Linked DNA regions of Rhinolophus ferrumequinum. The protein of the gene in region 3 purifies or fractionates together with the protein of the main gene of each other region. This does not show direct contact. Links are inferred from orthologs where the notes say so. Each region holds a gene or a part of one and is shown on either strand. Other genes may lie near its edges.

The links.
Region 1: the proteins of FGF11 (region 3) and UBE2O purify together in Homo sapiens (affinity purification with mass spectrometry; 3 studies listed by BioGRID and IntAct, with this or other methods). This does not show direct contact. The link is inferred for Rhinolophus ferrumequinum from reciprocal best matches to the Homo sapiens genes FGF11 and UBE2O.
Region 2: the proteins of FGF11 (region 3) and AHCYL1 purify together in Homo sapiens (affinity purification with mass spectrometry; 3 studies listed by BioGRID and IntAct, with this or other methods). This does not show direct contact. The link is inferred for Rhinolophus ferrumequinum from reciprocal best matches to the Homo sapiens genes FGF11 and AHCYL1.
Region 4: the proteins of FGF11 (region 3) and SIRT1 purify together in Homo sapiens (affinity purification with mass spectrometry; 3 studies listed by BioGRID and IntAct, with this or other methods). This does not show direct contact. The link is inferred for Rhinolophus ferrumequinum from reciprocal best matches to the Homo sapiens genes FGF11 and SIRT1.

Annotation. Positions count from the first base shown.
Region 1 is NC_046304.1:51,120,794-51,127,668, forward strand, and holds the start of UBE2O ((E3-independent) E2 ubiquitin-conjugating enzyme), read right to left. Parts: upstream 3,008-6,875; 5' UTR 2,938-3,007; coding exon 2,521-2,937; intron 1-2,520. UniProt on the Homo sapiens protein: E2/E3 hybrid ubiquitin-protein ligase that displays both E2 and E3 ligase activities and mediates monoubiquitination of target proteins. Negatively regulates TRAF6-mediated NF-kappa-B activation independently of its E2 activity.
Region 2 is NC_046305.1:41,996,859-42,004,398, reverse strand, and holds the start of AHCYL1 (S-adenosylhomocysteine hydrolase-like protein 1), read right to left. Parts: upstream 3,022-7,540; 5' UTR 2,664-3,021; coding exon 2,544-2,663; intron 1-2,543. UniProt on the Homo sapiens protein: Multifaceted cellular regulator which coordinates several essential cellular functions including regulation of epithelial HCO3(-) and fluid secretion, mRNA processing and DNA replication.
Region 3 is NC_046304.1:11,433,997-11,440,992, forward strand, and holds the start of FGF11 (fibroblast growth factor 11), read right to left. Parts: upstream 3,014-6,996; 5' UTR 2,907-3,013; coding exon 2,714-2,906; intron 1,084-2,713; coding exon 973-1,083; intron 782-972; coding exon 678-781; intron 101-677; coding exon 1-100. Other genes in the region: TMEM102 (transmembrane protein 102), read right to left, coding at 4,969-6,290, 6,382-6,595.
Region 4 is NC_046299.1:46,617,922-46,625,666, reverse strand, and holds the start of SIRT1 (NAD-dependent protein deacetylase sirtuin-1), read right to left. Parts: upstream 3,005-7,745; 5' UTR 2,945-3,004; coding exon 2,539-2,944; intron 2,409-2,538; exon of another isoform or gene 2,313-2,408; intron 1,177-2,312; coding exon 1,060-1,176; intron 1-1,059. UniProt on the Homo sapiens protein: NAD-dependent protein deacetylase that links transcriptional regulation directly to intracellular energetics and participates in the coordination of several separated cellular functions such as cell cycle, response to DNA damage, metabolism, apoptosis and autophagy.

The DNA.
Region 1 (6,875 bases), about 40 Mb from region 3:
TGGTGGCCAGCCTCTTCATCTCTCTTTGAAGTTGTGCATTAAGAATGTAAAAGAAATTAAGAGACTAACATCAAGCCTTTACTTACTGTCCACTAAATTAACATGAAAACTACAAAAATACTCCACAGCTCACTCCACATTAAAAAAAACACTATTAAAAAAATTCCAATTGGCAGCAGCTTAAAAAAAAGTTTGTCAAGACTGTCACCACATTACTCTACCAACAACTGGGTTCTCAAGTCTCATAACCAGGTTAGTGATGGAGGAGAAGTCAGAGCCTAAGTGCTCTGTCTCGGTCTTACAGTCTTTCCTCTATAAACATGCTGCTACCGCCATGGATTTATAAGGAATGGGAGGTGAGAAGGAAAATCTTCCTAAACCAGTGCTGCAAGGTCCCAGGACCCAGTTGGTAGCCAGGAGCAAAGCATATGTTCAGCCGACCTGGATCACTTCATCTGTGCCTACGGCACAGGATGATGAGAGCTACCTGTCAAGTAGAAACTCTCCCCTACGCCCAAACAAACCTATTCTCAAGTCCTAAAAGGCAACTGGGTCTTGCCATCCATAAATGAGCACTATACGCCACCACTTCCTGGAATTCCAACGCTCCTGAGCTTTTGCTAAGCCCAGAAGCTCCAGAAACTGCAATGGCAAAAGAAAACACCACCACTGGAGTCACAATGGATTTCAGCAAATTCAAAGCAAGTCGCAAGAAGGCAACTTCAAAATACATCCAAGCTGGTGCCTCAAAGCTATTTTCTATTTAATTCCAAAATAGGTACTTTAAGCATATAATTACACATGGTCGGGGGAGGCAGAGGGAACATAACCATAAACAAAGTTAACCACCAAAGTCAAGATGTGCAGGAACAACAACTGATAAACATGGCAGCTCCCAGTGGTGAGCTGGGCACGCTTCCCTGAGCGCCAGGGCAGGAGGCCATCATGACAGAGGCAAATGAGCTACATTCCAGAAGTCACAAACCTCTAGAGAAGGTGGTTAGGGAAAAACATTTTTAAAAACCCATGGAAAGGCACTAGCAACTGTTTGCTAGTGAGACAATGTACAGACACAGTGTATAGAGCAACAATCTTCTCTTCCCGACTTAATCATACTGGTGGTAATTTTTAACCAGTACTTTGCTGCAAAAAGTAGTATTTTCCACGTACTTTTGCACATGAACTGATCATTTTCTCTTCCAGTCAGAGAAGCTATCGCCTGATTTGCATTTCTCTGAGGGGAAACCAGGTGTCCTGTGTGCAGATTTGGGTCTGGATGCATGCGCACTGGCGAGGAAAAAGACCCTGCTGGTACCAGCCGTCACTTCTACCACTAGGAAACAGATCACAGGCGCTTCCTGGAAGTGGGGCTCTCTTCCACGCCCAAGGCCTCATCACGGACCCCCTCTGTAGTGTGGCATGAAGGCTTATTCCTCTGCTGCTTTTGTCTCAGTATGTGAGTAACCCAGATTAATTTCTGAAGTGCCCTCCCGGAGATCAGACCTCTCAATCCCAGGCAGCAAAACAGCTCAGGCCTGATTCCCGTTTAGAAATGTTTTCTTGAAGGGGAGAAGGGGGAGGAGGTGCAGAAAGGGTGAAAGATACAGGCTTGTGTGTGCGTGTGAATCACTGATAGGAATTCACACTCAGGCAAACAAGACATGGAGAGCCACCAAACCAACCTTGCTTCAAGGTTTCAGGTTTCTGACGATAAAACCCTTGGTTTCAATATTCACCAGCCTCACCCCAATACCATCTGCGAGTCTGATGTTTGCTTCACAGCTCCGGTCAAGAAAAACCCTTCAGGTTTCCAATGGGTGGCTCTCCTCCATCCATGGTTGTAAGCTTTTTCAGGAATTCCGACTGCACTTAGAAGTCACCAATCCCAGTCGCAGCTGTCACATCCCCCTGCCCCAGTACTATTAATATCAAGGCTTTGATCGTTAGTGATTTCACTCATAAAGTTTCCCGCAGCAATGAACATGAGACAACAAGGTAAAACAAAAAGGGACTGGGTTTCTTCACCCATAATAACGCATTCTGCAATCTAGTGAACTTCTCGGGTTTTTGTGTCGGCGGAGATGCTCACCTCTATGTTTTGGGATGCCCACACCCCCTCCCTGCACCGACCCGGCAAGGCCCTCCTTTCTGGGTGCACAATGCAGTATGTAGCTCCTCGGGGGTCAGCAAAACGCCGCACTGGTGTAATAATGCCCAGCGTGCCTCAGAGCCCGAGGAGTTCCCCACGGTAGTGGGTCCACGTACATAACCTTGAGGCCCACACCACACCACAGTCGAGCTTGGAAGTCCCTTCGTGTGGGGAAGCCTGGGGCCCGGTGGCCCAGGGCTGGTGCAATGACTTTGCACCGGAGCGTCCCCTCGGCTGAGGCTCGTCCTCCCACCTCGGCCCACTGCAGTTGCACCACTCCCGGCAGCGCCTCGCACGCCTCCCCTCCCCGCCTAGGGGTCCAGCAGGTACCGGACCCTCCGCCAGCCCCGGCCCCGGCCGGCCCGCCGCACCTTGGTCTCCTTCACGTGCTGCTTGACGCCCTCCGGGTACCACTGGACGCGCACGTAGCCGCGGCGCAGCGGGCTGGCCCGGCCCTCCTCGTGGCCCGCGCCCCCCGCCTCAGAGCAGCCCGAGCTCCCGCGGCCCTCCTCCTCGCCCTCCGAGTCCGAGTCCTCGCCGTGGATGAGGCGCACCAGCCCGAAGTGCACGGAGCCGCGGTAACGGCCCGATACCAGGTCGTGAGAGAACAGGAGGCGCTGTGAGCCGGCTTCGGGGCCGGAGTCCGAGGACGGCCCGGAGGCCGAGTCCGGGGCGGGCGCCGGGGCCGGGGCGGGGGCTGCGTCCGAGGCCGGGGCCGCCTCCGGAACCGCGGCCGGGGCCTGGGCGGGAGCCGGAGCTGCGGTTGAGGGCGCTGCGGGATCCGCCATAACTGCTCTGCGCGAGTCTCTCGGGCGGCGGCGGCGGCAGTGGCAGCGGCAGCGGCGGCCAAGGCTCGGGGAGGCGGGGCCAGCCGGCGCTGGGGGCGGGGCCACGGCGTGCTGACGTGCCCCTACGTGCCGCCGTCGTCAGGGAACTGAGATGCGGTTGCTAGGAGTTACCGCCTCGTCGCTAGGGGACGCTGGAGATGTTGCCGTGGTGGGGGGATGTTAAAGGATGGACTCCACGAGAGAGGGGTGGGGCCTGGGGGGGATAAAAGTAAAGGGGGCGGGAAGGGGTGGGGACCGAGGGAGAGGAAGTGGGGTGGTCACCGAGGAAAATGGGAGTGGCCGACGTGGGGCGGAGGATGGTCCCGAGACTGTCAACAACATTTAACGAGTTCCCCTGGCGTCTGTTGCCTAAGCCCTAGGCACGGGAGGGATACAGAAAGAGCAAGGCACACAGGCCTTGTCCTCTAGGCGTATACAACCTAGTTGGAGAGACAAAACATATACACATTAAATTGCTAAAAAGCGACTCCAATTCAGCTTGTAAGCAAGGCTGTAATAGGTATGTCCAGTGTATCTAAGTATATTGTATTAGGAAATTCCGTGCAAAGCTTGGAAGATCATGACCCCTTAGGGATCCGTCAAGCGGTTAATAAAGGAGGCTCAGAGAATGATCAGAAAGAGCAGCAGGTATTAGCGGCCCCTCCAATTTGCCTTTAAACCCATCTAGATGAGTTCAAAGCTCCATGAGGCTGGATATACATGGCAAGAGGTAAGATAGCCAGACAGTTAAGAGTGGGAGCCGTGGATTCCAATTTTTGGCACTGCCACTTACTAATCTTATAAAGGTACACAAGTGATAAACTTCTTTTCACCTTAATGTTCTCATCTGTATAATAGGGGTGATAATAGCACTACTTGTCTCATCAGGTGTTTGGGAGAATTAAATGAAATACAACAGTGCCTGGCATACAGTTCTCTCAATAAAGCTTAACCATTATTATAATATTTCAACCCACCCCCACTCCTGTCTGGACTAAAATTCTAGATTGGCAGAACTATTATGGTCTGCTTTATATTGCCATTTTAAAATATAAAAAGTAATTATACTAATTCAGTGCCTAAGGTCAGAAGGTAGTAACTGGCAGATCCAAATTGGAACCCAGATTTCCTAAACCCACATGCAGGGGCTTTTCTAGTTGCTGTGTCCGCCAGGGGATGGAGGTGTGCAAATAGGCTAAAGGGGCAGGGCAATGCAGGTCCTAAATCTTTGATGTCAAAAATCCAAGTGAGTTTTGCATTCTATTTCAGCTTCTGCCTGTGCTTGTTATAAAAAGAATGCCCTTTCCTCCCTAATAGTTGGGTAAAATTGACGCTCCAGGAAGATGTGCCATGTTTATTCTGCAGCTTCTTGTAATAATGGCTAATAATAGCCTCCGTTTATTGAGCTGCAACTTAATGCCAGCTACCACACTAAGTGCTTTACATAGATTACCTGCCTGCGAGGGAGGAAGTATGAGCCGTCCCTTCCGTGAAGCATCATGCCACACTGTGCTGTCCCCCACCCCAACAGGAACCTGCTAGGCTGTAGGTAAGAGTCCTTGATTTCAAATGCCAATCTCTCCTCTACTAAACACCTTTTGAGCACATATGTGGGTTATGTCACATTTATGTGTGTAACCCTGGTACCTAGTTCAGTGTCTGCCACAGTGTTGGTGCTCAATAATGTACCATATTGGTGGTGTCAAAGGCCTGAGATTCCTGTTCCCCCATTTGGTCAATTTCTTATCCCCTCCCCCATACACCACGGAGCTGCCCATGCTATTTCTAAGCCCTTTCTGTTGCCCCGAGTTTGAGCTTCATCTGAGCCCTTTCGGAGAGAGAGGCTCAGTACCTCACTCCCCGCCTCATGGTGTCCTTCAGTGGCCTCCTTCAGACCTGAGATACTCCGGGCATGGTTTGAGCCTTGACTTCCAGACCCCAAGCCCCCAGCCGCAGTCTCTGCACACCCAGGCTGGAGAGTAGAGCCCAGATGGGAGCATCTGCTTAGTTTTTGTTTTCGTAATTGTTGGATGAAAAGAAAAAAAAACACACTACTTCATTCCCCAATAGAGAAAAACCCTTCCTTTCATGGCCCCAACACCCAGCCATTCTTGGGGACCAGAGATACTCCTCAGGAGAATTTGCTTATTTACAAACATGCCTGCCAGAAACTGAGGCAGCCTGGCCACTCCCCTTGTTAAGGAAGTGGTGGGGTGCGGGAGGCAGCAGAGCTGGCAGCAAAGTGAACTGATCTCAGAGAAGCAGGCCCTGTCTCGTCCCTATCTTAATCAGCCACTGAGCCACCTCTCCAGACCCACAAAGTGTGCACACTGCCCCCTAGGGGAGCCCCAGCCTGCTTGGCCTCTCCAGGCCTCCCTGTATGAACAAATCCCTATGGGCCCAGAGAACTCCTCCCACCCTGGAGCTGGTGTTTGGGGGTTCTAGGGTGCCTTCAGCTCTTGGGGGCTTTGGCTGCCAAGGAGGGGTGGGAGGGGCGCTACTCTAGGGAGCCCTCCCACACCCTCAGTGTCTGGCTGGGGAAATGCCTCTGCCTGAGGTTCCAGCTGTGGGTTGCTCAAGCTGTGGGCTTTTGGAGATAAAGGGGCAATCCTTGCTCCTGGAGCCTCACCCCTCCTTGCCTCGATGCCCTAGGACTTGCCCAAGGTGACCTTGCATTACAGCCAGGGTCAGGACAGGCCAGCCCGTGGCCATTCTCACTCCTGACTCTGAGGAATGGTTGCAATCCACTAGGGAAAACACTTTGTGCCGGGGGCAACAGTAAAAAGTTGAGCAATAAGTGATAAGCAATAAGGTCGGCTTAATATCTCAGTATGCTTCAGCGGCTCTCATGGTCCACCAGAGAGTGACACACGTGGCCCTTCATGAATTGATTCCCTCTACCCATCTTCCACCGCAACACACATGCCCCATACTCTGGCCTCAGCTGCTTACTTAAGGATCCCAACTCTTTGGTGCCTTTGTGCCTTTTCACTTATTTGCCATCTCTGCCTGGAACTTTTTATTCCTCTGCTGCTTCAACACCTGCTTTCCCCTAAAGATCTCCTGTTCCCCTTACAAGAGCTGGCGTGGGCCTTCTTAGCTATCAAGTCTTCCAAGTGCCCCACTTCCCCCTTTTACCTGGTAATACCTGTATGGTCGTGTCTCTTACTCTCTATACAACCATTTTTGTACTCCTGTCTGTCCCATGGGACCATGAACTTTGAGGACAGGGATGTGTCTTCTTCATCTTTGTATCTCAGCAGCCAGCACAGGTCTGACTCACAGTAGGTGCTCAAGAGATTCTTGTTGAATGATTGAGCAAAACAAGCTCAACTCTCCCAGTGGCCCTCAATGCATCAAGTGTCTGGGACACCTCCATCTTTCCTCAAGTCCCCAGCTCTCCAATTTTTTAGATATGGAAACACACCCTATATGTGCACACTCACCTCACACATCCACTCACACTCATCACACACACATACACCCCCCCACACACATACACACACTGTTGTTCTCTCCTTAGTCTTCAGCCCCTAACTATATGTGCCTCTTGAGCACTGAAATGTGGCTGGTCTGAATTGACACGTGCTATAAGTATAAAATACACCCTGAATTTTGAAGACTCTGTGCAAAAACAAGAAAAAAAAAGAAATATCTCATTAATAATTTTATATTGATTACTCGTTGAAATGGCAATATTATATATGTATCTATTAGGTTAAATAAAACATATTACTAAAGTCAAGTTCACCTGTTTCTTTCAGCTTTTTTTGATGTGGCTACTAGAAAATTGAAAAATCCCACACGGGCTCTCATGATCTTTCTTTCTACTGGACAGAAGGCTCCAGTTGCTCAGGGAACCATAGGTCCCTTCTTTCTCCAGGAGGTGGCGATCCCTC
Region 2 (7,540 bases), on a different chromosome or scaffold from region 3:
ATTGAAGAATCTCAGTATTTGACGGACATCCATTCTTCCCCAAAGAAAACAAAATTTCACCAGTTACACTGGAAACTGATCTGAGGACTGTCAAAGTCACCCTGAAGTAACCTATACCCTCTGACTGGCACCAGAAATGTCCTCAATTCCCAAGGGGCCTCAGGGCTTCGTATGCTCCAGGAATTAATTGGTCTAGAGAGCCATACCAGAATCCTCACAGGTGAAGGACAGCACCATTTGAAGAGGCCTTTTTCTCACATGCCAAGCTACATTTTTTCTCTTACTTTCCTCATGCTTTCTCACAGTATTAACGCATGGCACAGGTACAAAAGTGACTTAGGTCAACATATCCGATTCAGCCAAAGTTCTGAAAAAATGGATCGCCTAGAACTTGCTGCTATATGACCTTGATTAGTCCTCGACCAACTCATCAACTAAATAAATGCCTTTTATCATCATTGGGGAAGGGTAATTAGTCATCATAAAGCACTTTAATACAAAGTGCTGTGTAAATGCTAAACAATAAAAGCTCAGAAAGAGCAAGATTAATAAGAAACACGGGGACACATTTACCAGCAAATGGAAATTTACACGGGGTCTTCCCCAATTCCTAGCAGAGACTGCTTCTGTCAGCTAATGGAATGAATCTCTAAAATCATTAGCACTTGGCCTGACAATAATACATTAGCAATATTCCTCCTGGGAAGAAAAGAGGAAAAAGGATTATTTATTCCTGGTAGGCAGCCATACAGACGTCTTAATTGCTAGTTAGCCAGGCGGGCACTTATTTGAGTACCTACTGGATGCTAGGTACAGACAGTTAGGCACACTGCATACAATGGTGAACCAGAGTCCCTGCCTTGACGGAGTTTACAATCTACAATACAAACTTCGTCTTATTAATAGCAGCATTTCCAAAAATAAAGGTTTACTAAAATAAAGGCAAGTACGAATAAAGGTGCCTAATCCCTGAAGCAACCAAAGGAGGGACAGGCTAACGGGGAAGAGGAAGAGTTCAGGGAGTTAGGGTACCAGCGATTTCCCAGGTCTTTTCCCTAACTCATCACAGGCACTGCCCTTAAGCATTCTGCTTATAAAGGCTGTGTCTGTGTCTCCATATAATGCAGATCGCAAAGGGTTACTGCCCAACAAAGCAGTCAGCTGAACTGAGAGCACTAAAAATAAGCTTAATCAGGCTCCTTAGAATCAAGGGTTTTTCTACCACCCTTTTAAAGGCATTCTACTAGTAAGATCTCAATTTCGTGAGAAAATGGAGTTAAACCACAGAATCGTGACTTGTCTTCTCGATCCTGCATTTGATTTCTGGAGAGGTGGATTAATTTCCTTAAAAAAAGTTCTGTCTCCCATTTAGGACAGCTTAACTAGTTCAGATGAAGGAGCCTTAAGGATTGTTAACCATTCCTGCAAACCTGGCTTTGTTCCTGGCTTATACAAGCACTGTATCCATCAAACGCTGTAGGCAGGGACAGCCTTGAAACACTTTTTATCCAAGAGGGAAATATTTATCCAGGTTCTCACTGGTTTCAGAAAGGTCACCTCTCTGCGAAGGTTCTCTGGTGTACTGTTAAGTGGATGCCAGGTATGTGGAAAGTCAAGATGTGGTTGGCAGCAAATGCTCAGAAAGCACCAGGAATCCTAATTCCACCATTCTGAGAGCTCGTTAGACTGAAAGCTCCAAAGGTTGCCATTTAATCTTCCACGCACGACAAGAGAATGAGAAGGGCGTCCTTTGAGCTCAACCCACAGTACAATAGAGGAAACTTGTTCTGCCTCAATAAGTGCAGGCAAGAATGAGCAATCGCTCCATACCACCCACCCGTCCAACCCACCCTAGCTCCCTCCTCAAGGAAAGCCCAAGTGGTCTATTCACGACTCTGCGATCAACCTGTATCCATGACAGTGTCTCCCGTCACCAACCTCCACATACTAATTTTTTACGGGTGTCGAAGCAACTGGATGACTGTAGGTGAAAAATCACAGTTTTCTTTTCAATCTCATGATGCCCTCATTGCTTTCCCCTGCATAACAGAGCTAGCTCCACGCATTTTTCCCGCTTGTCTCCAGGCTAGCACGCAGTTGTTGGATAAACCGGCCACTGCTTGCAAAGATTTGCCTACAGAAGCTTTACCAGATTTACCCACTCATTTGAAAGGAGATTTTCTGTACACCCCCATCCCCTGGGGCTGGCAACAAGGGTCAACTGAGTTGGTCCGCCCCCTCCGACTCCCGTCTTCGAGGCCCTTCACCCCAGAAAAGTCACGGACAAATTTAAGGCCCAGCCCTGTCAGGTTTCAAAAAGATCCCGAAGGACTGGGGCCGAGGGACAAAGGAAAGTGAGGTCAGGGGCGGCCTCTCCAGCTCGGGATAGGCCTGGGGCCGCTCACCCGCCACCTCTACCCCATCTCAGTCGTCCCCGATCCCCTCGCCCCAAAAGTCGCGAACTAGCTGGAGCCCGGGGCTCGCTCGCGCCCCTTCCGCGAGGCCCCAGTCCGGGCCCCCGCCGCCACCCAGAACCCCCGCACCTTCTTGGGCGCCTTGGTGACGGTGGCCATGAAGGAGTACTTCTCGGCGTCCTCAATCTCCTTGGCCTGCTTCAGCTCCTCCCCGACCCCGGGCAGCGGCATCGCGTCAGGCATCGACATCCCCCGGCCGGCCGGGCCCGCGGCTGATCCGCCGCCCCCGCCTCTTTCCCTCTCGGGCGTCCGCCCACCCGCCCGCGCGGAGCACTCCGACACGCGCTCGCCCACCCTCCCGCCCGGCTCCACGCTGAGCCGCGTCCGGTGCCGAGGTGCTGGGGCCGGCGCCTCGTCCGCTCCGCCGCCCGAGACAGCCGGACAGCGCGGCGGCGACAGGAGCCCCAAAAGCAGCAACGCCGAGCTCCGACCAGCCCGCGCAGCCACCTCCGCCGCACGCACACACGCACGCAAAGTAAGGGTAGAGGGTGGTGACGCCACGTCAAGTACTGGCAGCTCCGGGGCGGGGAAATGGGCGGGGAGAAACGGCGCTGGGTCATGACGTCACCACGCAGGACTGGGCCCCTGGAGCCACCCCTCCTACTTCCCAGCTCGCGGGTGAAGCTGCCAGAGTGAGTGGGCTCCGGGGCGCCGCCAGGTGGCGCCATCAGCCCTGTGAGCGGCGCGTGGTTCCTGCAGGGATGCCGCAGAACTGGGGAGACTGGGCTGTGGGGTTCCCCGCAAGGCCTCAGAACGGCGTAAGGGGGTGCTTGGGATCAAAGACCAGAGCTCCACACGACACATCCTGCAGCCAGTCCTAGGAAACAACGGGGCCTAAGACAGCCCACTCACTCACTGCCTCCGACCCAAGCCCTTTAGACCAGAAGCCCCTTCCCAAGGGGCAGTGTTTGCCTCTGACTCCGTAAGAGTGGGCAGAACAGACTCAGAGCAATGTGGTTTCTGCACAACCTTTTGTGACCTCCTCCACCGCTGTCTTCGCTGGGCCTTGCCTGTTTACAGACCTCTAGGCCACAGAGCTGATGTTATCTGGCCATTGGGATAGGGCTAATGGATCAGAGGGGTGGAGAGCAGGAGGGGGGAGGGGGCAGTTTCCAGACTGAAAGGCTTTCCTGCTTCGCGCCTCCCTCCCTCCCCGCCCCCCATTAGATTCGGTCAGCTACCAGTGTGGCACCCAGGGCGTTCATGGACCATTCACATGTTTTTATTGGGCCCTACTACGTTCTGTCTTTGTTCTAGGCCCTGGATAGTAAAGATCCGCGTGATACATTTTATGTTTTGCAAGGCTTAGTCCAGCTGGAGAGGCAAAGCATATCTGTAACCTAATGTCACCTAAGGTAGCGTGTCCTTGGAGATTCAGATGACATTGTCTTGAACTCCCACGTCCTGTGGAAAGTCCAATGCCCTCCCCAGGATTTCAGTGTATTACTGGGGGAACTTTGATTTTCCTGGTTACCTCCGGCTCTAGTTTTCTGCCTCATGCGAAGTGTTATTCAGTGTTCTGGTCTGGTGGCTGTTTCTTTAGTTCCTGCGGTCAATTCACATAGGGAACACAGCCCTGTTCTTTCCAACCCCCACCCCCTATTCCAAAACAACCACACAAATAATGCTATAACATGTAGTAGAACTTTTAATGAAAATTTGTTGGCCACAGGGGAGAGATTACATCATACAGCAAACAATTTAAAATCACATTTCTGAAATGTTCTGAAAAGTTATTTTGGCTATATCGTCACCTGGGATTTCTCGTTGGCGACACCACCCCACAAAGCTCCCCAGGCCATTGTGTCTAATCTAGCTTCCTCCTGCTACTCCCTTCCCATCCTCCGCCTCATCTCCCTTCCTGGATTGACTCTGGGAAGCCTGATTCTTTGCTCTGTGATGAGTATTCGAGTCTTCCCAGCTCTCTTTTCCTAAATTACCACCCCACCCCACCCCGCAGTCCACCTTTTTATATCTAGAAACCCACTCGCTATCTGACAGGGTCAACTCTTTCAAGAAAGAAGTTGTGGTTTTCAACACTGGTTTATTTTCAAGGTTGGGAAGAGTGTGAAATACTTGCCTCTGGGGCCCCAGAAGTCTTAGTCACAGAAGCCCATGTTCCAACCACCCAGCCCCGCCCGTGAGGCTGTCTGTTTAAAAGTGGACGATGGAAGCTACTGGAAAGATGCACACTTCTGCAAATCCTGATCTTTACTGTTAGGAGTCTCTCATCTGCCCACTCTTCGAAGCCCCTCGTCTCCTCTCTCAAAGACATTCCTGTAGCAGAAGGGACAGAAAGTTGGGGGGGGTCGGAATACCAGATTGATTCAGAGGTGCCACTGGTACCTACCTCTTCGTCTCCCAGCTGGAACCAGGAGTCCCCCTGCCCACCCAGGATGCTTTGGGTGTACAGCGTGAAGTAGGTTTCATCCTGTGTGTCTGCCCAAACTGTCATCGGATCCCAGGAACCAGAGCTGCCTGCTCAGAGAGCAGAGGCAGAGCCAGTTGGAACAGAGGTCAAACTCCACATCTTTCGAATAGGAAAACACGTGGCTTAAGTTAGCTTGTTTTAAAACATAAAAGAAAAGCATACATGTGTCTGTCCTTTGGATTTGATTTTCTAAACTCCCGTTGTCCAAGAGCTTAGTCTCTGCCCTGCATGTTAGCATTCAAACTATGAGATTCCTCGAGACTGAAGTTCAGCCTCTCTTTTACTCCTCAACCAAAGTAACAGGTTTCCCGTAAGAGCAGGCTCACAGAATTGACTGTTGCTGAGGATGGTAAAGACAGGGCCCTGCCTAGAGGAAGAAATACCTCTGCGGTTGGAGCCAAGAAGGAGATCAACAGGTCCAACTCCACTTACCTGAATGCCTGGCCCACGGGAGGCTGGGAAGGCTGACTTAGGGAAATTGGAAGTGCTTCGGCTGGAAGGCAGGCTTACACTGCCCTGGTGGAAAGGCAGCAGGGGCCAGCGCCAAGGGCATTCCTGGAAACCAGCCTGCTGTAGAGGACATGGATGCTTGCCATTCCCGGTACCGTCAGTGGACTGGAGATCAAAGAGCTCACCCAGCCCGAGAGTGTGATGACATATCAGTGAGAAACACTGTGTGTTGCCCCCACTCCTAGATGGCCCCACATGGCCCCGCTAAGGGGGTTGCCTCTCATGGATGACGAGAGCTGCCTGTCTTCAACACCACCCGCCTCCCCCCCACCGCCCCACATCTACCTGGTGACTCAGCACCTGTGAAATGGGTCAGGAAGGTGTGTCAGGGCTCACTGTCCTGAACAGCATAACCCTCACACAGATCAGAGAAGAGACCAGGGGCCAGTGTTTGAGGAGCGCAGGGACCAAGGAGCGGTGTACTTGTGTGTGGTGGGGGCCAGGCCTCTAAGTGGCCTCTAAATGGCCTAAAGGACTAGAGGGGACCCTGCTCTAGAAAGGAGTAGAAATGACTTGGAAGACATTCTTATCAGAAATGTGGTGGCACTGGGGTACCACATGTGGGCTTGGTCTGGTTTATCAAATTCAACCCCCAAAATCACCTTCCACATTCATTCATTTTTTTTTTTTAATTCATAAAATATACATCAAATGCTGATGATATGCCAGGAGCAGCACTAGATCTTGGACTACAGGGACAAATGAAGTCCTGAGCTCTACCTGGGGACCAAGGGTAGGGGTGGGGGTTGAAGGGATGAGCAAGAAAGGCTTTGTAGAGGGAGACCTGCTTGACCTGAACTCTTGACAGGTAAGCAGCTGGACAAGGTAAGGAAGGGATTCTAGGCTGAAGGACTAGCATGACAAAAAGCAGGACAATGAAACAGCTTGACGTATTACGGGAACTAAATATTTCAGTGTGGGTGGGGCACAGGGTGCAAAGTAGGGCAGAACAAGGGCTGAGGCCAAAGCCAGGTCCTGCAGAGCTTGGTGAACCACGGGTAGACAGTGGTGATGTCCACCAGGATGGGGAAAGCGGGAGGAGAAGCAGGTCAGGGTGCAGGGGCTGCTGAGATAAGGAGCCAGCTTAAGGCATGTTGACTTTGAAATGTTTGTGGAGTTCACTGTCCCCAAGTCCCAGGGGAGCCTAGGTTGGCACCTCTCCCACCCATCTGCTCCCCGCCAGGCTGGCATTCCTCAAGAGTAAGGCCGTACTCTCCCTGTAGCTCCTTCACCTCCTGTGGCCAGGTCCCCCTTTAGTCCTCTAAAATGAAAAGTGCAGAAAGATTGCTGGAGATCTTGGGTGACCATAGAAGTAAGGAAACAGGTAAATGGCTCTACATCCATCCAGCGGATGCCCTCCCATGTTCTTTCTGTCCCAGAACCACCACACGGCACACTCTGGGTGGCACCATTGACATTGTCATTGAGGTGAAGGGTGCCCCTCGAGCAAGATTCCAGATTGCCAGTCTGCCCTGCTGCTCCCCAGGGGCTCCCAGCGCGGGGTCCTCAGGCATGCCTGGTTCCTCCTTCCCCAGCTCCTTGGTTCCCCTCTTCCAGCTTCCCTGCCTCCCCTCTCTGCAATTCCAGCTCTTTGGAGAAGATGAGCAGTCCCCCAGAGGCCAAGAAAGACTCCTTCTCTACCTCCTTTGCTTACTATGACATTTATTATTTATTGTGCTATTTATCATTATTTCAAACATAATCTTTATCGGAAAAGAAAGCCTGTGAAGATAAAAATCTCTTTATATATCTCTAAGTTCACTTCTGATTCCTGTTAATTTGCAGGTGTTCACTTTTACATACCTGTGATCAGCATGTCGTTTGTGTTCTGCTTTGATCAAATTGCGATATTTCAAAGTGCATTATTGTTTACATACCTGTCGTCAGCATTTCCTAAGTGCTCCATCATATTGCCATAGGAATTTTCTCAATTGTTTTTTTTTTATTGTGGGGCATTTGAGTTGTTTCTAACTTAATGCAATATAAATACAGTGTGTATCAGGGTAGGCGTCACAGTGGGAGGGGCTTTCAAGCCAAACAGACAAGGTTGGATCACAGCCCCAGGTCCTGCCAGAGAGAAGGAGCAAAAATGTAAATAATGGGGCCAACTGTCTTGGCTATAAAA
Region 3 (6,996 bases):
CCCGGCCAGAACGGCGCTGACGGTAGAGTGCAGAGGCATACAGGACATAGTAATTCTCAAAGACGCACTCCTTAAAGCGACACTCAGCTGTGAAATGTGGCTGAGGAGACAAAGACCCAGAAAGGCAAACACAGACAGAGAGACAAATAGACACATCACTGGACAGAAGGGAGCCCTGAGAAGAACAAGCCAGGATATAATCCATACATTTCAGGCTGGAGGGCCAACTTCTGAGTCCATGCAGGAATTGAGAGAAAAGGAGGAAAAGGAAGAGTCTTGTAGGCCCCTGAGGGTTAGGAACCAGACATTTGGGGTCCTAGAGTAAGAAGATACCTTCTCTCCACTCTATTCCCAACCTCTCACCATCCCCTATCCTAAATGACTCTGGGGAAGTGAGTAATCACAACTCTGGAGGAGGTAGGATGAGAAATGGGAACCCTAAACGGATGAAAAGAGTTGGAGAGAGTTGGACATTCAAAGAGCCTGGGGGCGTCTGGAAGGCTGCATGAAGAGTAAGGATTAGAGGGACCCTAGAGGAGGTACTCTGGAGTGGGCAGTAATGACAGGACAACAGCAAGAGCTGGAGGAGGATTCCTGAGCTGCAAAATATCTGTAGTTGAGAAAGTTGTAGCTGGGGCAGTCCCCAAAGCCGAGGCCACTCTGCTTCATTATCTCACCGAGCTGTAGAGCAGCCCCTCGGCATTCATGGCCATGTAGTGACCCAGCTTGGCACTCTGGATGGTGACCACACGGAGCCCCACGGGGATCAGATTGAAGTGGGCTGGGGGTGGAGAGAGGGAGTGTCAGTGCCCTAGGCCTTGAACACCCATCTGAGCTCCCCCCATCCCAGCTCCACTTCCTCCCTTGGAACTTAAAAAGCCAAACTGAAAATAACAGAACCTGAAGCAAGAATAGGATTTGTCATCTAACCCCTCTCCCCCTTCCCACCCAGCTGCTGGCTTCCCCTCTCACTGAAAGAGCTGGTGTCCTCTGGGGTGCCCTGGATGCTCCCATCGGGATTTGCCTGGAGGTAGAAACCCTGGCGGCAGAACAGTTTTGTGACGATGCCTTTGAGCTGAGGCTCTGGAGAGAGAGAGAGAGAGATTAATCTTTGGAAATGACATCTCTGGTCCCAGAAACAGTCCTACACTTGATGGGATCAGAGGAAAGAGAGTGGAGGGAAAGAATAGAGTCCCTGGGCCCCACCTCTCTGACCTTCCAAGCAAACTCTCTCTCACCTCTTTTTGACTCCTGAGGAAGCTGGGGTGTGGGTCCCTTCTGCTTCCTCTAACCACCAGCTTTCTAATTTATTTAAATTTATTTAAATGGATTAATTCCTACTCTACAGCTCAACCAGAAGTGGGGGAGGGCAGAGAAGGGGAAGAGGAAGAGGAGAGATCCATGAAAAGGCAGAGGACACAGGGAGAACAGGCAGGGCTGCTGAAAGGGCAGTGTGTTTGTGAATGTGGGGGCCAGCAAGGTGACCAGAGGGTAGGGGCGTCCCCTCAAGAGTGGGGGTGGGACTGGGCCTGACGCTGACTCAGCACCTGCTGCTGCGGCTGCGGCTCGGTTGGCGCGGGCCTCGCCTTGGCCCAGCGCCGGCCTGTCTGACACTGACCCATCTGTCAGTCTGTCTGTCAGTCTGCTGGCTCGGGGGCCCAGCCCTTCCTGAGGTTCAGCCTCTCCCCTTCTGGCAGGTAACCTCCTGGGGTGGGGGACATTCGGTACCAAATCAAGGAAATGGGGGGAGGGGCGGGGGAGATGGCGGGCAGGCTGAGTCACGTGGGGGCCCGGTTCCACTCAAAGGGTGGGCTGTGGGCCATACCACTGTGGCGGGCCCGCTGCGGGGGGCGGAGGGCGCAAGGGGGCTACCCCTAGGGAAGTTGGGAGCTGGGCCAGAGGGACTCTCTGCCTGTCGTACCTGGACGGGGATCACACGCAAACCTTCACAACTCCCCTTCCCGGTCGCTTGCTCTCGGCCGACTTCCCTGTACCCCCTTGTAGGTGGTACGACCCCCCAGTCTCAGTGCAGGTCTCCCACCAGCCTTGCACTGTCTGAGTTCCTCGCAGCAGAGGGTCCCCTGAGCTCGTGGGACCTGATTTCGGAGTCGCGTGGAGGGTAACGGAGGGGGTGCCCAGCTCCCCTCTTGAAGCTCAGGTCACGGGAGGAGGGCGCACAAGAGGGGCGGGCTGGCGAGGTAGCTGCAAGGACACCCGCGGGAGAGCTGGGGGGGTTGGCGCCGAGCCAGGCAAGCTCCGCCAGGAGTAACCGAGCCAAGGCGTGGAGGAGCGGGAGAACTGGGGCGGGGTCGGGGCTGCCGTAGCCGCAGAAACCCTCGGGGTGACCCAAGCGTCCGGAACCCCCAGGCCCCTCGGCTCGGGATTGAAAGAATCGCGAGAGCCCGCACGTAGGCAAAGGACGATGGGGGTGGGGACCCTGTGGTGGGTGGGGGGCGCGAACCGGAGCTGCGAGGCTTGGGGCCCCAGACTTAGCCCTCAAGCCTTCCCTTTGCATTCGAAATCAAGGAGACTCGGGGTTATGGGCAAAACGTAAGGGAAACTGAGGCATAGACTGGCAGAGACTTTGTTGCCCTGGCCCATCCCCTTTCACTTTCCGGGAGCCCCCTTGAGTCGGGCCCCACTCTTCAGAGCCCCTCACCTCAACCTCCCAGGCGGAAACCCCAGTCCCGGAGACCCCGCCCCAGCCACTCACCCAGGCCGCGGTCCGGCCGCGCGGGCCGTCTCCCACACAGTCGCACCTTGGATAGCAGGATAAGGAGCTGTTTCTGGCAAAGGGACTTGGTGCCGCGGGGACACACGCGCCGCTGCGCGGACACGGGCCGGCTGCCCCCAGGCTCGCGGACCTCCCGCTTCTGCCGGATCAGGCTGCTGGCCAGCGCCGCCATGGCGCCCCGGGAGGAGACACCCCCAAACCGGCAGGCGCTCGGAGCACACTGTGCTCCCCCAGAGAAGCCCGCTTACCACGGCATGGTCTTGACGCTTTCCCAAGACTCAGCGCCCCACCCACAGGATCTGAGGACAAGCCTCAGACCACCCCCACTCCCAGCCGCCAGCTTCCACCCTTGGGCCCCCTTGCTAGCTCCACTGGACCCAACAGCCTATGTACCTCTCAGTTTACCCCACCCTCGACTTTTACCCCCTACAGAAAACTCTGCCTTCCCGTTCTTTCCAGTTATTTCTGTCCCCACTTCCCCATCCCAAAACCAAGACCCCCAAAATTTCCAAAATGTGGTTCCAATATCCCCAGGTACCTTCCCACCCTATTTTGGGGCTCCTGTATTCACTCCTGTAATCTAAAGTGGGTGTGGGTCCTTAGCTTTGAGGATATTAGCTCACCCACCCCTACTGGGGCCTTGACAATGTCAGGGAAGAACCCAATCTTGGTGTCTTTGCCACCCTCTAAGTGAAGAGGGTCTCCCACATTTTTTCACTCTAATACCCCCCAAATTGTGTCTTAGAATATCCAGGCTGTCCCCATTCAGTGAGAAGGGGTTCCCAGACTCTGTTTCTGGACAATACCTTTTTTCACCAAGTCATCCCCATTTCTAGCGGCACAGGGTTCCAGTTGCTGAGTCTCTTTCCTCACCTTGTTACCCTCTACTCCTTTTGAAGTCACCTCCAAATCCACCCTTCCTAGTGGATACACCAGGTGGTTGTCTGGAGGGCCCTCTGTCACCTCCAAATAAGGAGCAGCCAGGTGTTTTTCTGGCTGTCCCTTAATTTCCTCAGGGACAGCTGGTACTGTTTAGATCCCACGCCCTCCAATCTAACAAGGCCCTTAAGAAAAGAGTACACCCACGTTGTCACCAATCCTCAAATGTGAATAGGCCCCCTACAAGTCAGAGCGTATCAGAGCTTTCTGCGACAGGGCTTCCTCATCTTCCGGGCGACTGCCTGTAGCACCCCTCTCTCTTGCCGACGCCCCTCAATCTGTCCTGTCTTGTTGATCCGGCAACGGGTAGCGCTGGCTCCGGTTCCAGGCTCCTCCTTCCCTGTCCCCCGCAAACGGAGCTTCCCCCCACACCCGGCTCCGCGCCCCGGACTCCAAAAGAAGAGTGAGGGTGTCTCGCAGAGAGCCCTGGTCCCGCAGTCAGAGCACTGGGCCTGGTTGCTGGATCAAGCACAGCGGCGGCAGCGGCAGCGGCAGCGATTGTGGGAAGCTGAGGCGGCGGCGACTACCGCAACTCCCCCTTTTTGGAGAGCAGGCCGGGAGGCGGGGCAGGGGGCGGAGACGCAGGGAAAGGGGGGTGAAGATGGGCGAGCAGAACCCCGGGGTTCCTTGGAGGCAGGGAGTGGGGACAGTCAAAGAGGCAGGCGGAACCAAGGCAAAGCCGCACGTCTCGGGGTTCAGAGAAGGGACAAGGTGGTGACCACTGAATGGAATGGCTGGATGGGGGGAGAGATGGGCTTAAGATAGATGGAATGGCAGACACCCCAAGGGGGCAAAAGGGACCCTACTGCCTGGGATGGGAGGACAGAACTAAATGAAGACAGCGGGGGAAATAACTGAAGAGATGAGAGTGGGGGACCCGAGATCTAGCCTGGGGTGAAACCCAGCCTCCTTAATATTTCTGCTTTTGTGTGAGCCAAATTGGTCTGTCTCTGGTCTCCATACTTCTCCTTTCCACGTTTCGTCAGTAAATATACCCCCTCCTCCATCCCTATTGACTCCTGAAAGAAAAGACCACAAGAATTGGGGGAAGATGGTTGCTAGAGGCTGCACCAGGATGCGAGGGATACTGGTCACAGATTTGGAGAGTGGAAAAGCCAGAATGGGATGACCTGTAACAGGGTTGAGGCGGGAAAAGGGTAGTATGACGGGCCAGGAGGCCTTCTAGAAGGGTATCTTTGCGTCCAGGATTCTTAGTCTCCCAAGCAAGGGGCGCGCAGTCCGCTCCACATTCTGCTAGCTAACAGAAGCACTTTCCACCCTGGTAGGACTAGTCTTTAATGGGCCCCACCTCCCACGCCAGCCAAGCCGCCCCCCTTGCGCGCAGCCTTAGCCTCCTCCACCGCAGCGCACAAGGCCCGGACAGGGTCCCCACGAAGCCGAGCCAATGCTAAGAGCAGCGCTGCTGGACCGTCCCCCGCACAGAGCTTTTGGCCGCTCAGAAAATAGTGGGGCAGTGTCCCAGCCTCCAGCACACGGCTCAGCTCATCCAGCAGCCCGAGACAGCAGGCGCCCGCATTCTCGGGCCGCGCCAGATAGAGGGCAGGCAGTCGCTCGCAAGCCCAGTAGAGCAACGTCCGCAGGAGGTAGGGCGCCGCGGCCCGGGTCCCCGCCACCAGCGGGCGCAGCAGCGCCTGGGCAGCTGCGTGCGCTTGCAGTAGCGGAGCGGGTATGCGCGCCTTGAGCGCCAGCTCCTGGCGGGCGAAGCACAGCTGCCAGCCAGAAGCGCCCCGCCGATCTATGCGGCCGCTGGGCACCAGGTAGAAGGAGGAGGGCTCGGAGGCCAGCGGGCCGGCCCACGAGTGACTCCGAGCCCTCTCCGGCCAGCCAGCCACAGACACCACGGGGATCAGGTCGAAAAGTAGGAGGTGGCGTGGAGGCCCTGGCGTAGCCAGGAGAATGGTGGTGAACCCCGCGTGGCGGGCTGCGTGGACCAAGCGCGGGGCACCCGGGACCGGGTACAGGGACTCCGCGACCTCGGCCAGCATAGCAAAGAACCATGCAGCCACCTTGGCAGGGCACAATGTGGGCCACGCCTCCAGAGCCTCCGACGGCTGTGGGACTGGACTATCCACTGCTGCTTTGGTGACGTCACCATTCATTTTTTTCAGCGGTGCGGGGAAGCCAGGATCGGTTACGTCTTGCAGAGGCGACTCGGGCCCCGAACCGTTACTAGGTGATTTTTCCAAAGAAGACACAAGAGGCTCAGGCTCAGTGACATAACTGTGTGGCGGGTGCACGGAGCTTTGCTGGTCCTTGGGGCTTTCTTCGCTTTCTGTTCGGTGCATGGAATCACGTCCTCCTGGGACTGGTGGTCCTAGGCAATCCTGCCAAGCCTCTCGGACAGAGATTCCGTGCATCAGTTCTGGGAGGCAGAGCCAGGCATAACAGGATTCCACGTCCAGTTGCAGCTCCTGCCCAGTGCCGTCTACAGAAAACACGGGCACCAAGAGTGTGAAGCCGGCGTCGTAGTGAGGTCCCCTAGCGTAGGGACCTAGGGGTGCAGGCCCCAGATCCAGGGAGCCCTCGCGAATCCCGCCACGAAGCAGCAAGAGCTCCGCTTGGGGAGGAAAGCGGGGGTCCCGGCGGTGAACAAGACCTACGGGAAGAGAAGGGATCACGAAGGCATTACCCAAAGCCAGGGCGGGGCTGAGAGCTGAGAGTTTCTGAAGGCAGGGAGGGTTACTTACCAAGCAAAGAGAAAACAAAGTTCTTGGCCCGAAGGAGGTCTGGTCCCGGGTTGGGCCCGTCACTCCAGCTCTCCTGCACACCCAGCTCCTGGATAAGCTGGGTTAGTTCCTGCAGCTGTGCCCCAGAGCAGAAGTCGATGTCCGTGAGCGGGCGGGCTGGGGCTGGTGGCGGCGGGCCCCACCAAGGGGCACTTCCCCAGACTGCGGAAGCCATGTGGCTCTATCGTTTTCTGTTAGGGATAACACGGAAGGGAGGAGGCCTAGACAGGCCTTTCCTTTGCTGCCGAAAAGTCTCCTCGTTTCTTTTCTCTTCCCGATGCCGAAAGTACCCCAGACAAATCCGCTAATGGGTCTGCAGACAGACAGCTCTAAATTTAGACTTGAAAACCAACAAATAAATACCTCCTCAGTCCTTGCCCTTTCTCATAAGCTGGTCTCCGCCCCCATGGACAGGTTCATCTGACTCAGCAGGTAAAAAGTAGCTGTTGTGCTCCTTCTACAGAATACAATAGCCAGTCTCCTCCACTGCCCTTTGTCTACCTCCCCTTACCTCTTTTTCGGAAGAGGCTTATGGTCTGCGGCTTCTCTCTGAGGGGTAGCTTCAAGGGTTGGGAA
Region 4 (7,745 bases), on a different chromosome or scaffold from region 3:
CTATGTATTTTAGGAGTCAAACTAATTGCCAGAATTAAATTTCAATCATTAAAATCCAGAAATACACACTGTAATTAATAACACGAATATGTACAAAAGGGTTCTCCAAATCAATATAGGATAGATCTTACCAGTCCCGAAATCCCATACTGTTTATCATTAAAGACATAGGGAAAAAGAAAAGGATATCTAAATATCTACCTAAAATAAATCTATACATAACTACTATCTTTTAAAATTTTTCCAGTAATAATCTTCAATTTGATCTTAATCAATCTCCCAAAATGATACACACAGTGCTGGTTTTGAGCATTAATATTTTTTCGCCTGGCATTTCTTAAATCAGTATCCTAGCTTGAAAAAAACCAAAAATATAGTAAATATTATGGATCCTAAAAAGGAACTATCCATCACTATATTTAAATAGTCAAGAATGAGAGCACATTAAGAGAAAGATCACTTTCAAGATGGTCATGTTATAACTGGTAATAAAAATCTGAATAGTGTTCTCTATTTCAAAATACTTTCCCATTTTATCCACATACTTAATACGGATTCACTGAACACAAATTATGTGCCAGGCACTTACCTAGGTACTAACAAAATAGTACACAAATCAGTCAAAAATCCCTGCCCCCAACTGGTTTCCGAGTATATTTTAGTATATGAAACACAATAAAAAAGTTAAGATACAAAGCTTGAGAAGTGATGATGTGTTAAGAAAAAAATGAAGAATGGATAGGAAGTGAGGAAGCAAGATACTCTAGAGGAAGAGCATTCCACACTGAGTACCAGCGAAGAGGACCCAAGGACCCAAGTTGTGAGAAGGACCTGGTTGTTTGAGAAATACCAGAGGCCAGTTTCCATGGGCCTGAGCTGTTTAAAAATAAAAACAAAGCACTAGACTTTCCCTAGAAAAATAAGCTGACATTAAATCCAGCAAGCACCTAAGGAACCTAATAACTAGGTTATAAGGGGGCAGAGAATTATATTTTTAGTTGGCGTTAAAATTAAAACAAAGAAAAAGACATTTACTTTCTAAAAGCTGTGGAACCATACCTATCCGTGGCCTTGGAGTCCAATCACTAGAGCTTGCATGTGAGGCTCTATCATCCTCATCACTTTCACAGGAATGAAAACCATTGGTGATTATTTCATCACCAAACAGAAGGTTATCTACAAAAGAAACCAAAAGTAACTCAAAGCTACTGAAACAGTCTGCATCTAAAATATATGAAGATCTACAGTGGTTATGATGCAACAATTTTCAATGAATGAAGCACTTAACATTCATATTGCCTGTGTAAAGAATGCCTACTAGGTCTGCTTGCACCGTTCATAGGCACAGTATATATCCTCATCTTTAGGGATTCTGCCCACAATCTAAAAGTTTCAGTTCACACAAAAATCTAGACATAAGTTTACTTAATCAAAACACAAGAAGTACTAATCTAGTTAGACTGAATTTATCAATCACAAATAATAGAGCTCATGAAACTTGTCAAATAAAAACCAAAAAAATTTGTTCCAAGTAACTAGGGCAATCTGCACTTCTCTTATAAAATACTAAACATACAAAGATAACTTTGCATTATTCATTTTCCCTATTCGACTGTTTCTTGAATGAGGTCTTCTTATTAATCAAGTCTCTAATGCATGTTACCTTTAAATACAGTCCAATGGTCCATTGATTAAATTTACTGATACAAATGATGAAGAGCACATCTATCCAGGACAGAAACTCCTCACATCGAAAATATGAAATCCTCAAAGATGACATGACATATACAACTAACACATCTGCTTTAGTATGCCAAAATATGTCAGTCGTATTTCAGGGTTACATATACACACAATAAAGGATTATACCTAATCCTAAAACTATTTTAAGAACATGATTAGAGGAAAAATACTATTCAAAGTACTGTCACTCTTCTACGTCCACTATTAATTGCACCACAAGAGTAATGTCTTTAGAAACAGCTAAGCTCTTCAAAATTTGGAGGCTATTACATTAGAAATAGCTTTGCTCTTCCAATTTCAAGACTAATTTAAAAATAAAGACCCTCCCCCCAAAAAGTCACAAATTGCACAGGTGTCAATTTGCAAAGACAACTGCAAAAAGTCGGTGCAAGGGATAAGCAAAAGTTGCAGATTTAGGAGTGCTGGGGGCTGGGATGAAGGGTGGGAATGATGTTAAATAAAAGCAATATGCTAAAAAAGTAGGAGGGGAAAGAAACTTATTTTAAAACCTGCGAGAGCTTCCCCGCCCGGCGGCTGCGCAAAGCGCGAGGCCGCTAAGGCGGGCCGCGGACTAAGGGACGGACGGGAGGGAGGGAGCGAGCGAGTCCGCAGGCCGCTCCTGCAACCAGGCCGGCAGCCCCGGAGGCGCGCAGCTGAGGGCCGTGGTAAGGAGAGGGTCGCGGCAGAATCAGCCCTGAGCCCTTGCCCACCCGAGACCCCTCCACCCCACACCAGGAGGGGCCCCGGGAGAGGGAGGAGGGAATGCGCAGTCCCAGCCGCCCGCGCCCTGCGCACCTCGGTACCCAATCGCCGCCGCCTCTTCTTCCTCCTCGCCCTCGTCGTCGTCGTCGTCGAAATCATCGGCCGGCGGTGGTTCCAGGGATAGGCCCTGTAGGCCCGGCCCATTGTCTCCTCCGCCCGCCGCCGCCGCCTGGGCCTCCCGCTCCCCGCCCGCCGTCGCCGCCGCCGCCTCCCGCCACAGCGCCGCCGCCGCCGCCGGGCCGCCCCCGGCCGCCGCCAGTACCTCACGCTCTGGGGCCGCCCCATCGGGCTCGCCCGGGCTCCGCCCGAGGCCGGGGCCGTCTCTCCGCGGCCTCTTGCGAAGCGGCTCCCCGGCGGGCGGCGACGCGGCCTCCCTCTCGGCCGCCACCGCCGAAGGGGAGCCACCGGGCTGAAGGGCGAGCGCCGCCTCGTCCGCCATCTTCCAACTGCCTCTCTGGCCCTCCTTCCTCACCTCCTCTGCTCTCGCTCGACTCGCGGCAGTGGCGCCCCCGCGGCTCCGGCTGCGGGAGATTTAAACGCTGTCACGTGACCCACCTCTCGCCGCCTCCGCCCTCCCGCGGCTCCCGCCACCCACGCGGGCCTCACCACAACACGGTGGGTCACGTGGCGGGCGGAGGCGGCGTGGGCCGAGAGGAAAAGCCGCAGGAGCTGCTGCGGCCCCACCGCTTGGCTTCAGGCGCGTGATGCAGCCAAACTCGCCCGTTTCTCAACTTGTCTTTCAAACCGTCCTGAAGTCACTGCCGCTGGCACGGCTCAAATTTTGGTTCACACTGCGGGTTTCCACTTCTGTCTGAAGTGCTCACCTCGCTTGTTCTAGATTAAGGGTTAAATCGTAGTTCCTGAGAGGCAATAAGGAATGAAGCTGGCCAAGGTTTAGCTCCCTCAAGTGTGTTGGATAGTCTCCTTGTTAGGGGTATGAGTAGAAGCAGAAGGACACAGTTCACTCCTCACACCATTCTGACAGCTCCTCTCTCTCCTTGCTTCTCCTCTTAGCTGATGGCTTCTCCCCCTACTCTCCACTTGTAGTGTAGTGTAAGTTGTAAAATCCCCAATGGTATGTGTCACACACACACACACACACAACTCCTTTGACAAATGTGTGGGTGTTCCCTTGAGCGGGCTTCGTTAAAATGAGTGTATTGGGTCAGGTGAGGCAGCATAAGGAGAGTGCGGGATGAGCATGACTTGGCCCCTATACACATCTGGGTTTCGGTTGCAATTGGAGATTCTTCCCTTCTAGCTTGGTTTCATCGCTAAAAAATGGTAATACTGTTGTGGTGAGAATTAAATGAGATAGCCAGATGTAAAATGACGGGTACATGGTAGTTTAGAAAATAGTTCTTTCCCTACTTGTTGCCTCTCTATTTTCCACTTTCCCTGAAATTCCAGGACTCTGTCACTCCGTATCTAGCTTTCACTAGGGACCCATGTAATAAAATTTGGCAGGTTTGGAGTCAGTGTTTGGTAGGGTATCTGCCTCTCGCGCACTGGGTTTCTATCCGTTTACAGGACCTCTCCGAGCTTACAGTAAACCATCCCTTAAGCGTAATGTGGGTCCTGCCTGCCACGCCTATTAACTTGTGCGAACTTAGGCAAACAACTTGCTGTTTCTTCATTCTTAAAAAAAAAAATTACAATGTTGGAAATGTATCTCTGAGGTCCCATCTAAAGTCTTTGTACCTCAAATTAAGTTAGGAATCTCCCCTTACAACTGGTCACTTCTTTTCATTTCTGAAAGTGATCTCTTTCTTCCTGGAAGCCTTGGAATCATCTTAGAAGTGTTCCTTCGGATTGATGCCCTCTATACAATCAGTACCAAATCCTGTTCTTCCTTCCCTCCTATACTCTTTCCAATTCCTAATTACACAGGCACCTCATCCTTCCTGGCTGACGTACTTGGCCCTGTTGTCTCTCCACTTTGTCTATCTTATCCTACAAGATATTTTATATATTGATTCTCAACCACATTGGTGGGTTGTAATATATGAAATGTTGAGAGGCAGTATCCCATCAAAATAGAAACAAAATTCCCAGCTTTTCTGAGATAGACGTTTGTAAGCTTATGGACATTCTTTTACTTATATATATATTTGTGTGTGTGTGTACACATATATATATATTATCAAAGATACTTGCTGGTGTTTATGAAATGCTATATGATCACTAATGTGCTGAAATGTCAGAAATGGGGTACTCATGGCAAGTAGAATAAATGAGAGATAGAAATTGTATTATAAAACAAACGTAATTAGACTTCTGGTCTACCAGTAGTTGAGAACTAGTTGCCTGAAATTCAAGTCATTCTTTGTGCCTAAAGCTTGCAAATTTGTAATGGAGTGAAAGCTCGTACCACCACAGGACAGCCAGTAAGTCAAGTGATAAGGCGTTGGGGCAAGGGAAACGACTTTATTCAGAAAGCCGAGCAGATAGTGGACTAGAGTCCTAAAGGTTTCTCTTGAGAAGATAGAGAATGCAGGTTTCTTTTATGTCAGGGGAAAGGGGGAACAGGAGGGGTTTGAGGTCAGGATGTGACTGATGAGCTCAGACATCTGGAGGTCAGCAAGGGTCCAAGGGGGATGATGAAACTTCAAACTCTGGTTGCCGTGATCTTAGTCACAAGATTCCTATAAAAATTTTGATAAACAATATTTTTGTACATACCTTCCTTATCTCCTTAGGGAGGTAGTTTCAAGCAGGAAGGTTGTTTCAGTAAGTTCTAGGCTACAGGTTAGATGACTAGCATATCTACATGCAGGACTAAGCAGAAGTTGCTAACTAACACGTCAGGCACGAGCAAGATGGAGTCAGAAAGACCGATTATTTTATTTTATTACAAGTTCATATTCAGTTTTTTTAAAATCTTCCATGAATCTGGCCTAAGCCTTGTAAATATTTTTAGCATTAATATACTCTAAATTGAGCTTTTCATATTATTAAGCCATTTTTTTTTGAAATGAGGACACTCTTTAAGTTCTTGTATGGAATGATCTCCAAGCTGCACAGTGCAATATGTAGAATAGTGTATATAGTGTAGTGCTATTTGTGAAAAAAATAAAAGGGGGAGTGTGGAAGGAAGACCATATGTGTATACATGTATATATGTATGTATTTGCTTATATATGTACAAAATAACTCTGGAAGCATTTAAAATACATACATGCCTGCCATGTATTTGTCATACTTTTTTTGCCTATGCCTCTGTCCTCCCTATTCAGTACATTATAAAGCACATTCCCCTATTTTAGTCCTTAACTTATTTTTCTCTGTGTTTTGTTGACTTCCTCCCCCAACTACAGCAGGAATTTTGTTCATCTGGTTCAACTCTGTATCATTAGCTCTCTAGTGGAATAACTGGCACATATATGTGTATTTATTGAATGGAATAAATGAAGAATCTAAGTGAAGGTTTCCATATAGGAAAAGAATTATTGGCATAGATCCTAAAAAAAAAAAGAAAGAAGCGAAACAGGGAAATTCACTTTGTTCTCAGCACAGTTCAGGTGAGAAAGTTAGTAAAACATATGACATGTTTCTGATACTCTGTTTGACAAGGTGACATAACATTGGACTGTGAGGTGTTTTCCAACACCAACAACCAAGTCTCTGATTGTCCAGACACCAATTGTGTATTCAACAATTCAACTCAATTCTGACACTAACACTACCTGGAGTTAGTGAAGACCTCACAGTTTAGGGGCTAAGTCTCACAGGGCTACCCCACCTCAGATGCCAATAAGTCCCAGACCACCTGTACTTCTGATGAAGTGCATAGAAACTGGGAGTTCCCATGACATCCTTCTAAAGTTCAGTAATTGCCTAGAATGGCTCACAGAACTCAGGAAGATACATGACTTACATTTACAAAGTAAATGTATTTTCTGTATCCTTCCAACGGATACAAACGAACAGGCAGAGATGAAGAGGTACACAGGACAAGGTCCAGAAAGGTCTTGCACTTCTGTCCCCATGAAGTTGGGGCTTATCACCCTCCCAGTACATGGATGTGTTCACCAATTCAGAAGCTCTGAATCTCTTTGTTAAGAGTTTCTATAGAGTTCAGTCTCCAGTGTACCTGCCCCTTTCCCTGGAGGTTGGGAGTGGGGCTAAAAGTTCCCCCTTCTAATCACGTGGTCTTTCTGGTTTCTGGCCTCATCTTGAGGCTTTCTGGGGACCCCACCCTAAGCTACCTCACTAGCATAAACTCAGGAGTGGTGAAAAGAATAAAAGACCTTCTTATCATTAAGGAAATTCCAAGAGTATTAGGAGTTCTGTATCAGGAAGAGTGGACAAAGTGTTTATATTTTATTATATCAAAGGCTGTCACAGACTCAGACACTAGTCCCTAAAATTTTTAATTTGTTTTCTAGACCTAATCCCCCTGAGCAGCCTTCAACAGTAATTTAGTTTCCCATGTAGAATTACCCACTGGGGAGAAAATGGTCAAAGAGCCAACATTAATATTCTGGCTGACTTGAAATCTCTGTTTATGTAAACAAATAAATTGGCCTTATAGCTTTGGTATCAGTCTTATGTGACTACAATTAATGGAGAAGTTAGTATCAACTTTATGTACTAAAAAAAGTGGTATTGGCATAACTGGTTATTAATGTGGAAAAATATAAATACAGGTCTTACTTCACACTAGATATAAAAATAAATTCCAGGTAGATTAAAGATCTAAATGAAAAAATACAATAGAAATATAAGACATTTTAGTATATTATGTAACTTTTTATCAAGAAAGCTTCTTAAATAAGATAGGAGCCATTTAAAATATATATATTTGACACCATAAAAATTTTAAATGTGTTCTAATTTACTAGTCAGGGATATGCAAGTAAAACAATGAGGTACTATTTTTCATTCCTCAAATAGGCAAAAACAAAACAAATTTTATTGTTACCATCTCTCACCAGGATACAGGGAAACTTACACTCTCATACATTGCTGTCATAGCGTGGGAAAGTAATCTGAAAATATTTATTAAAATTATAAATATACATATACATTTCAATCCAAAATCCCATTTATCTTAAAGAAATGAAAATGCGAATATGTAGGATATGAATACAAGAATGTTTATTATGGCATTAATATTACTGGGAAAAAGTCAAGAAACAATCCAGATATCTTCAATAGTAAACCTGTTGATCAAATTATGGTGCACACGTGCTGTGGCACATTATGTAACCATTAAAAAGATCTGTTGTTTTGAGGAA